Linked DNA regions of Daphnia pulex. The protein of the gene in region 1 purifies or fractionates together with the protein of each later gene. This does not show direct contact. Links are inferred from orthologs where the notes say so. Each region holds a gene or a part of one and is shown on either strand. Other genes may lie near its edges. The genes, in order: synaptosomal-associated protein 29-like, syntaxin-17-like and alpha-soluble NSF attachment protein-like.

Region 1 (3,226 bases):
TGGCTAGAAGAGAAGGACTGTGACTGTGATAAATGTGCGGCCAATTCCCCTTTTTCCACATTTCAAGGTGCTACGTTTGCGGTTTGTATGAACTGGAACTCCGACCAATGGTCTTCTGTTGTAAAACGGAAACAGAAAACAGTCGCCAAACGAAGACAATGGCAATTTAGTGTGCGGCTAAAATCAACAAATGAACCGTAATAACAGCTGGTGCAGACATCCGCAAAGACAAGCTGGCCCATCAGGACATTGTGTGGATATGTTCTTGTCAACTAAAACAAGTTTCTCAAAACGAAAAAAAAAATTGCCATTCATACCGTCCGGCTCGTTTCGTTCTCATGATCATCGAATCGTGAAACAGGCAATAACACGATCACCACGTCCGCTCATCTTTCCACAACATCTGCAAAATTCCTTGCGGATGATTAAACACTCTCAGGAAAAAATTTTCATATACTAATAAAATACCTAGTAAACTTATCCCCAATTGAATTCATGCAAATAATCATTTTTTTCTTTCTTTTTATCAGACCGTGTTTCACCTAAATGTATTATTCCATGAATATATAATATATATACACACTGGGAGTGTGCTGGCAATTTACCTTGGTGCGCAAAAAGAGGGGGACAGATTTTCTTATTTAAAACAAAAAGAGTTTTTTTTTCTTCATTCAATTCTAATTCTTTGTGTATCACAAGTTGGAAACAACATGGACTCGTGGGGTTTTCACTTTTTCAGAAGACGTTCCATATCTTTATTTTGACGCTGGATTCTCCAGTCAGCCTTGTCGGCACCAGTCTGCAACCGATCGATCAACGTGTTCTGATCTTCCAGTTCAGTCGACAATCCCTGGGCGAGACCTTTCAGACGGGACAGGGACAAACTCATGTCACCCAGATCTTGCTCTAGCTGCTCGTCGACATTGGAAAGAGGTTTGTGACTAAAATCATTTTCAAGTCCTTTAATCCTCAATGCTGGGTGCTGTTGCTGTGATGGTGAGTCTCGGTCAATCGGTGATGATGTTTGCTCAAGTACCTTGGAAAGATTGCTACTACTACTACTGGAACTAGGCTTTAACAAAGACCCTTCAGAAGAGTTTTTGAGTGGCTCTGAAGGCTTAGAAAAGTAGTTCTTCATACTGCTAAACACACTCTAAAAATCAATGAAATCTGTGTTAAGGAAAAAACAACCAACCAATGCTATAAAATATAGATAGACTACCTTGATATTCTGTATGTGTCTCTCTGAAGTCCTCAATGAATTATTCATTTCATCCAGTCGGCTCCCAGTTCTCTCTAACTGTTCCCTCTGCCTTACCAAGTCCTGGTTGGGTATTTTCAAGGGGAAAATGAATCAAGTTTTAAGTGGTTTTCTAATGTAAGCTTATGTGCAAACCTCAGCGGTGGAGATTCCAATCTGCTCAGTCTCATACAACATTCCTTTAGCTCGCCCTGAAGCCTGCAAAGTACGTTCTTCTATTTTCTGTTTCTCCATAAGAAGTTGTCGTCTACGTTCATCGGCGCTCTGATTTTCTCCTCCGTCCAGAGGTTGGAAACTGTTATTTCCGCCCGACAAACTATTGGCTAATTTTCCTCCAAAGTTATTGAACCTATTGGGTGCCCTTTGTAGAAATTCTTCGTCGTCCACGTCGTCTTCATCGTCAAAAAATGGATTTGAACCTTTAGACTTGACGTAACGCCCACTGGATCCAGCCATAGTTTTTTCGACACTAATACACTTTTCCTTGTATGTATTATTTGTTGCTCACTCACTTTCGCATGCCCTCCGAAGCTGTCAAGGCCTTTAAAGAGACTGCCGAGAGTCGTAACCAAGGTTTGATGTCTTCCCTCTAGCGACGACAAAAGTAATGATTTAATAAAATTGTAAGTAACATAAATCAAATCAATTAAAACATATTATTATTTTTAAGTTCATTTAAAAATTTCAAAAAATAATTCTCTATTATTATTCATTCATATGAATCAGTAATATTTAATAAAATTAGCTAATTTAAGGAATGTTGCGAGGCTTCACCAGGCTGAGGGAACAGCCCACCTCTTTCTCGTCATAGCAGCCCTTCTTACTTACTTCACTTGTTTTCCCGTGATCAAAATATCTACGTGTGAAGTCACGCAACTGTCCTTAGAACGTGTCAGTATCATGAGTGCCTTATTTCCTGATAAAATAATTGCGAAATATTTGAAATAATCAATGGCCACTCGTCACGAGCCATTATCACTTCAAGTGATAACATCTCCGTTCCTTCGCAACGTCGAAACAGCCCATGATGGCAGTGCAACAACTGTGGAAAGACGTACATTTCGAAAAAGTCTTGAAAGACTTGAACGAATCAATATGATTGATTTAGAACCCTTTAGTTCTGAATCAGTCTACCGTCAGCCTTCATGTGAACAGGGTCCTAGTGGAGATAGGAAGCTAGCAAAACGACAAAACAGGCTCAGCAGAGAGATCCTTGGAGTTGATGATGCAGTGTTATCAGCTCCTGACATTGCCCAGTTCCAATCTCAGGAAAGACAGCTTCTTACAAAGAACCAATCAATGAATGGTTCCCTTAATCAAACCGATGTTGATGATGATGTCAGCAGTGTTATTTATGGTGGATCAATAGCATCAACAGTCCCCGACAGATATGGTTTCTTTGGAGGATCTCAGTTCAGTCATGACACTGAAATGTAAGTTTTATTTGTTTCCCTTGAATCCCCTATTAGTTTAACACTATTGTATTTGCTTATTTTGAATTCAATTTAGAAACCCAGCAATGATTGCCATTTTTCGCAAAAGAGAGCTGAAGTGGTTAAACATGTTAGATGATTGGGAAAAGTATATGACATACAAATACAAAAAGGTTTGGCAATATCTTTTATTTTTCTTGTCTTTCATGTTTCTATTAACACCCAATTATTTGTAATCAACAGGTAAGAGACAGGTGTAGGAAAGGAATACCCAGTTCTATCCGTCCCAGAGCGTGGCAATATTTGTGCGGCGGTGGTGTTCTAATGGAAAAGAATAAAGGCGTGTTCGACGATCTACTCGCTCAGCCCGGAGATCCCAAATGGCTGGATGACATCCGAAAAGATTTACATCGACAATTCCCCATGCACGAGATGTTTGCCGATTCCAATGGACCTGGGTAATTAAAGCAATAATGCTTCTCAATTATCGCTATAGTATACATTCTACTATTGTTTTTTTAAATTAAATTTA
Region 2 (3,423 bases), on another chromosome or scaffold:
ATGCCCAATCAAGCTCCTTCTTTACAGCCTTCTTTACTAAGTATTCTGTCAAGTTTCGGGTTATTGATTTGCCATCCAATTTCTTTTGGAATCCTACTATACTTGGCTGGATCTCTTTTATTTATTTCGTGGTTCTGAGCAATAATAAGACGGGACGTTATTTGCAGATTTGCCATCCACTTACCCAGTTCTTCGAACTCCGCCGTTTTCTAGAAGGGCAGGGGAAGCGGGGCTTGATCCCCTTTGTTTCTCAAGAGCAGTGTGTTACAATACGAAACACAGGCTAGTTTGCACACGATCGGAATCTTCGGGTTGCGCCGAGTTCTACTTATGGTCGTACTTTATACATTTCACAATCTTCTTTGGCTTCGCCAACTTCTTTGACTTGACAAATATTCGAAAACATGGAATGTTTGACTTCTTCGATTTAGAATTCACTGCATCTTAGTCTCCCTGCGGGAATTAAGATTTCGATCCAGGAGAATCAGATTTTTACGCCTCTTCCAACAATCGAGAACGACCAACTTGTAACTACAGGAGTCCACCCACTAACAAGACGTAGGATATACTTAACTAACTAAGTCAACACGTTACAAGAGAATACTCATAAATACGACATTTTAAAACTTCGCAAACGTTATATTACAGTTTCAGTCCAGATAAATATAGTAATCCACTTATAGGTTTTTTAGATGTAGTCGATCACGGTCGCAGTCATCACGTTTGGAATCAATCGCCATCGTTTCTTTCTGATGTGAACCACTGGTGACGACGTATAGATTTTAAAAAAAAATAAAGAAATGTTACCATTTTTATTTTAATCAATCCCTATAAATATTTTAGAAAGTTACCTAAAGCTGATTGAGTGTGGAACTGTTTTTGATCCAGAAGTATTGCCTAAATTAACAGGAGATGACTGACTTTTGGTTAAATTTTCAGCTGGTTCATTAACGACCGATTCTTGCCATTTCTTTAAACCACGACCACTTGCAAAGCCCAATAAAGAACCTCCAAGTGCTGCAAGCCCACCTATTTTTAAGCCAGCAAGAAAGCCAACAGGGCCGCCAATACAAGTACCAATAAGAGCTCCTGTTACTGGATACATAGTTGCCTTAAACTTTGCAGCTTTGGCCAAATTCTGTTGTCCTTCTTTAACATTTTCTAGAGCATCATCAACATTGCTTTCAATGTTGCTGACTGTACTTCCTTGAGTCTACATTAAATGTTTTATCAATGTTATTGTTTTAAAAAAAATATATATATATCAAGGAGACTTACATGAACTTGTTGAGCAAATTCTGAAAATAGGTTGTGTAACTCCTCTATATCTTTTTGCAAATCTTCATATGTCTCAAGCTGAATTTTTCGTTGCTCTACTTCAATTTCTTCTGGTAAAATCTGTTCTTGACTTAGCATCAATTGTTGCTTTTGTTCACTTTCCGATACATGGGAATCAAAGTTTTCATTCGGGTTTTGTTTAAATTTTTTTACAGCATTTAAAGCTTGAATTCTGTAAGGTCTAATTTTATTTTCAAACTCCTTTTCATCTTCCGGTTTCAACTGACATCCAACTCCTTCTAATTCTCGTAGAGCAGCTTGCAATTGAGAAGCAACCTGTTGTAATTTTAGCTGTTCAGTTCGTACTTTGTCCCAATCTTTCTCCTTGATATGCTATGCAAATGAAACAGTTAAATTATAAAATAATAATAGAAATGTGCATTAATCATAAAGACCAACTTTATTTAGGTTGCTTTCATGTTGTTGTAGCTGTCCAAGAAACTGTGGCAACGCAACATTTGCGAAGCGATTCAGAGGTAATTCATATATTCTTACTCTGAAAGAACTGTTAACTTTTGACATTATTTCACTGACATAACCAATGCTGAAAACATAGATTTTTATTTTCACACTTGAAGGATTTCGTAAGCTTATTTCTTATTACGACTGAAAACGGCCTTTGTTTATGTTCTTTCTGTTCTTGTGTTGACACTGAAGCCATCTAGTAATAAATGAATCAACTTTTATATTTTTGACACAGAAGCCATCTAGTAATAAATGAATCAACCTTAAGCTATCTAGTAGTAGACGAATCACATCACATGATCTTTCTACTGCCATGGTTAGTGTGTACGGTTATAGTTACTGTCTTTCACGTTTCGATGCAGTTTTTAAAGTGAGCTTTTTAGCATTTCAAAATGTTTGTTAAGTAGCATAATGTGGTAAAGCAGATTAAGTGTGTATTGCGCTTAGTTGATTTAACAATTTGTATTTTTTATTTCCTCAACACTTATCAATTCTTTTGATATCTGATTTTTTGAAACAGTGAAATCCATGTCCATTAGGAAAAAATCCAGGAAAATAGCATGATCCAGGTTGTTCTTCAATTGCAACCAAAGATAATCAAGGACAAATGCAAAATATCCAACTGAAATTCTCTTCATATTCGTGGTGTAAGTTTTACTGTAAGTTGTGCTGTAAAGTTTATACTAATTCCTTTTACTTCTTCTTTTGATTCTGATCAGAATTTTGGAAAATATTTTGTCCAGAGAACGGTGCCTTAAAAGAAAGAACTTTGGTTGTGATAATGTGGCAGTATAATTTGCGTGAGTGTTAGGTTTTTTTATGTTTTTGTTTGTTATGATTGTTTCTTATTTTAGTATAAGTCTTGATTTAGCTAGAGCATGGATCTTTTTAATTTTGCTGTTTAAAACTTTAAATATCTCTTGTTTACAAGGCTAGACGATGGCTTAGATCGTTTTTCATCAGTCAGAAAAAACAATAGTTTCGCTGTTTCAGTTTCTTTTATTTTACGCAATTCTATCGACATATAAGACTATCGGCAGTTATTACGTTAGATAATTGTGATAACTGACCGTAAGCTACAAAGCTCACTTGGTAGTCTCATGTAATTTGCTTGTCTACTTTCGGATTTAAAAAGAGTCAGTACTTAATTTAGTACTTATTTGATGCCCAAAAGAACTAACAGTCGAATATCAGATATTCGGGCAAAATCGTAATTTTTCCTGAACTATAGGATATGGCATAAGAAAACAATAAGTGCATATTTGTGATTTGCTGATTTGATTCAATATTTTTGAAGTGCTCTCCATTGTTTTTTGTTGATTTGTTTCTCAACGCATCGTTATTAATAAAATCTTACTTTAATCTCTTTTCAGGTGAATCCGTCGTCGCCTTTCCAAAGACTGACCCATCGGATGGTGAAACTGACGAGAGGATGCTGTAATTCAAGACTGATCAATTGTGTAGTTTTTAGATAAATTACAAGTTCATATCTGGGCTCCCTTCTTTTCTGCGGCCCCGTTTCCCTAACTAACCACTAACCAACGCCCGCCGGTGGTCACTCACCCGCTGTGAAACCAGGAGGAGGGGAGGGCTCTGGTCGAACGGGGACTTGGAAGGCGC
Region 3 (3,940 bases), on another chromosome or scaffold:
TTATGTACTGTACTACACATTCTCTTCTGTGTTCCGTGCACAAATAATAATAGAAATGAATTATAAAATAAAATTTGAACGCAAGGTTCATCGTCTCCTCTTTCATCTGAAACTGCCAAATTGTTACTTTTCAATCGACTTAGCACAGTCATACGAGTATACTTCCTATACTGCATTCCTTTTCTACTAGTTTTTAAATATAGCACTACTATGTATAGCTATTGTGTACGATTTAGTACAACACGGAATTGGAATCAACACTTGACCGAAATACCAAAAACTTGTAAGTTGTTTTTTCGCAATATGTCCATTTCTGGTTCATTAATCCCACAAAACCCTAGTGAAGTTACCTTGACGCTTGCGCCATCTTTCAATAGGGTACGGCTTTGCGAACATTTGTCATTTTGGAAAGATAAAAAGATACTGCAATATGTTCGTAAAATCGAAAATCTGTAGCATTAATCAAGCTTTTATGAGCCTATATTTTGACAACACACAATAAAACTTTGAATTCTTAATTCTTTTAAAAATCTGTTACAGGACTGCAAGGATTTTAAATGTTAAAAGAACTATACTAATTTATAACTTTAGCCAAAAAAAAACCGCAAAGGTAAACTTCACCACGTTGGATTTCTCTGAACTACAAACATTGATACACACAAATACAAATTTGGTTGAGGCATACAATTTATCCGACAGCAAGAAAAAGGGAAGAAAAGTAACAGTACCGAAATTTTTTGCCTATTCATCTACGAATAATTAAACGAATTTGCCTTTTCTTTTAACACATTTTGCAGTTGAAAGATCAACCTCTATAAAGACAATATAAGGTGAAAAGAACAACTATATCGCGGAGTATATAGTAAATACCAAATTAGGAAAAAAAACCGAGTGAAGTCCAACGATGAACATATACTGTACACTGTAACGTAAGAGAACAATGGACAAGAACGAATTTGAAAAAAATAATAATGAACAGTGTAAGACAGAGAGCAAAAGAATTAATGTGGAATGAAAAATGTATAGAATAGTACACTTCGCGATCATGCTAAAAACGTATGGAACTAGACAATCGAAAGATATTACAACAGAATAATCGTGTATGGGGGAGCTTCTAATGTGTACATGCGCAAGATTAAAGGGTGTGCCATAAACCAGCAAAAAAAGCTACGATATCCTATAGGTTTCCGATCGTCGAGTGGTTTTGGATCTTCTGACTTAACACAAGTCAGGTGTTTCAGCCATCTGCTTCTTGATCCTCAAAAGCATTGTAGTGTACCATTGATCAAGCCGTGAAATGGAGTCATAATCCTTGACCGTTTCGGTGAATCCGTCTACATTGTGTTCTTCCATGTGACCAATGAGTGCCTTGATCAGCTTGCATTCTCGGGAATCCTATAAAAACAAATGAAGTTATTATTTAATTGAGGTCATCCAAACTGTTATTGAAAATCAACATTGTGTTGATCAGAAATAAATGGCATACCTGAAAAGCTGGATACATGTTCTCATATTGCTGGGCAGCATGTTGGGCATTCAACAAATCAATGCACAAGTGGCAAAGGGCAGCCCGGAAGAAGTACTCTTTAGCACTGTACTTCAACAGTGAATTATCCAGAGAAGCTGATGCAACTTGCTCATAAATCTGAATCGCCTTTTGATAGTTTTCCAACTGGGCTGCATACTGAGCCACTTTCAAAAGGCATTTGTTGGCAGAGCTATTACTTTCCTCACCTGTGAATACAATATTTTAATTAAAATGTTTAAAAAAATAAAAACTCTACTACCTTTGAAATAATCAGCTGCTTGTTCATAATGTTGCACAGCTCTTTCGAGATCAGCCAATTCTGTTTCGTAAATCTCTGCAATGGTTTGATGGTGTTTGGCAGCAATAGAAAACCTTCCCATATCAGTATATATTTCAATAGCTTTGAGGAGGCAAGCAACAGCCTCTATTGAATTTAGAAAAATATTAGTTGATATTAGATAAAAATAGAATATAACATGTAATGTTTACCATTGGGCTCAGATTTCTTATAACAGTTGCCTGCGTCAATGTAATTGGTGGCTGCATCATGACGTCCAGCAGCTTTAAGATGTAGAGCTGCTGCCTCACAAAAGGCTTGACCAGCTTGAGACCATTTTTTTGCCATTTTATACAAGTTTGCTGCTCGTTGGTAGCATTCTATAGCCTCATCAACTTTGGATGATCCTCTACACAAATAATTCAATAATCAGAATGGGAGGATAATGCAACATACTGGAATGAATTACCCTCCAAATAGAGAACCAAAAAAGCTCTTTCCCGAGTTCAATTTCTTTTCAGCCTCGGCGATTAGTTGGGCTGCTTTTTGCTCGTTGTCGGCCATTGTGGATTACTCTAAAGTAAGTAAAATTATTTGCGTGTACATAACAAATGTGAATGATAAGACGTTAAATAAACGTACATTTTGCAACAAATGAATACAGCTGCACTTCTCTTGTCAGACAATATTACGTATATCGATCATGACATTCTGCATAACAAAGGCCGGCGAACTAGTATTGTTTAGTCCTTTACTGGTCAGTACGTGCTGCCACCTGCTGACAACATAGTAAAGGCAACAACGCAACATAGGTAAAGTGGCGTCTCCTAATACAGTAAAAGCGGTAAAACTGTCAGAAGTCGGACCAATTAAAAAAAAAAAAAAAAATTAAATTCGATTCCTTACAAATGCCATCTTCACTTCATAACGCTATTGAACCACGCCATTTTCACCGATTGATGGAATTTTTGACAACCGGACTTTGGTATTAACAAGCGATCCACGAATCAAGTAGACCAAAATCCCGGAGCGGCTTTCCTGATCTAAATCCGGAAAAGGCATTAAAAATCTAAAAAAAATATAGCCATGTTCGTCTTCGCACGCCGGATTTACCTGCGTTTGCAGAATGACGATTTTCCCCCCCGTTTAGGAGTTATTTAGCTCTAAAGTTTGATTTTTTGAATTTTGTCAGAAAGTGGGGGGGCTTTGACATCCATTTTGGAAAAAGTGGGGGAGCTAGGGAAAAAACTAATTTTTTGAAAAGGTTTATTGCATACTCAACCACCGAAATCCAAAAGGAATTTCCTTTCCGGATTTTATTGGTTGAGATATTACCAATTTAGTGAAAAGATAATTTAGCTGGTTTCCCTCCCTGGCTTGCAGCCATTTTTTCGTACGGTCCGCTGCGCTCCTGGTGGAAGCCAGCAAAAGGTCTTATATATCGGCCTTCACATTAGACCCATTGCATTTATACAGGCCTTCATATATAGTGAACCCAGGTTTCTTATAGGCCGATGTATAAGACCTTCTGCTGGCTTCCACCAGGAGCGCAGCGGACCGTACGAAAAAATGGCTGCAAGCCAGGGAGGGAAACCAGCTAAATTATCTTTTCACTAAATTGGTAATATCTCAACCAATAAAATCCGGAAAGGAAATTCCTTTTGGATTTCGGTGGTTGAGTATGCAATAAACCTTTTCAAAAAATTAGTTTTTTCCCTAGCTCCCCCACTTTTTCCAAAATGGATGTCAAAGCCCCCCCACTTTCTGACAAAATTCAAAAAAATCAAACTTTAGAGCTAAATAACTCCTAAACGGGGGGGAAAATCGTCATTCTGCAAACGCAGGTAAATCCGGCGTGCGAAGACGAACATGGCTATATTTTTTTTAGATTTTTAATGCCTTTTCCGGATTTAGATCAGGAAAGCCGCTCCGGGATTTTGGTCTACTTGATTCGTGGATCGCTTGTTAAACAAATAAAGAAATTTTAGTTTTAGGCTTTTTTTCATGTGTAAATCAATGCCTAATCAAGAAAATTTCAAATGCAGGTTCATTTGGAGTAATTTAAAGTTCTTGTAATTTTATAGTGATAACGGACCATTTTGTTACGTCTGTTAATTTGATGAATAAAGTATCCC

What was found.
Region 2: the proteins of synaptosomal-associated protein 29-like (region 1) and syntaxin-17-like purify together in Drosophila melanogaster (affinity purification with western blotting; 4 studies listed by BioGRID, with this or other methods). This does not show direct contact. The link is inferred for Daphnia pulex from reciprocal best matches to the Drosophila melanogaster genes Snap29 and Syx17.
Region 3: the proteins of synaptosomal-associated protein 29-like (region 1) and alpha-soluble NSF attachment protein-like purify together in Drosophila melanogaster (affinity purification with mass spectrometry; 3 studies listed by BioGRID, with this or other methods). This does not show direct contact. The link is inferred for Daphnia pulex from reciprocal best matches to the Drosophila melanogaster genes Snap29 and alphaSnap.

What each region holds. Positions count from the first base shown.
Region 1 is NC_060025.1:1,294,077-1,297,302, reverse strand, and holds synaptosomal-associated protein 29-like, read right to left. Parts: upstream 1,837-3,226; 5' UTR 1,718-1,836; coding exon 1,397-1,717; exon of another isoform or gene 1,325-1,396; coding exon 1,223-1,324; exon of another isoform or gene 1,154-1,222; coding exon 728-1,153; 3' UTR 532-727; downstream 1-531. Other genes in the region: TBC1 domain family member 10A-like, read left to right, coding at 2,213-2,694, 2,771-2,867, 2,938-3,152.
Region 2 is NC_060017.1:5,925,395-5,928,817, forward strand, and holds syntaxin-17-like, read right to left. Parts: upstream 2,002-3,423; 5' UTR 1,861-2,001; coding exon 1,738-1,860; intron 1,672-1,737; coding exon 1,279-1,671; intron 1,214-1,278; coding exon 852-1,213; intron 784-851; exon of another isoform or gene 763-783; coding exon 678-762; 3' UTR 602-677; downstream 1-601.
Region 3 is NC_060021.1:555,476-559,415, reverse strand, and holds alpha-soluble NSF attachment protein-like, read right to left. Parts: upstream 2,585-3,940; 5' UTR 2,448-2,584; intron 2,381-2,447; 5' UTR 2,370-2,380; coding exon 2,275-2,369; intron 2,215-2,274; coding exon 2,018-2,214; intron 1,953-2,017; coding exon 1,788-1,952; intron 1,735-1,787; coding exon 1,487-1,734; intron 1,396-1,486; coding exon 1,219-1,395; 3' UTR 612-1,218; downstream 1-611. UniProt on the Drosophila melanogaster protein: Required for vesicular transport between the endoplasmic reticulum and the Golgi apparatus. Also between the endosome and phagosome.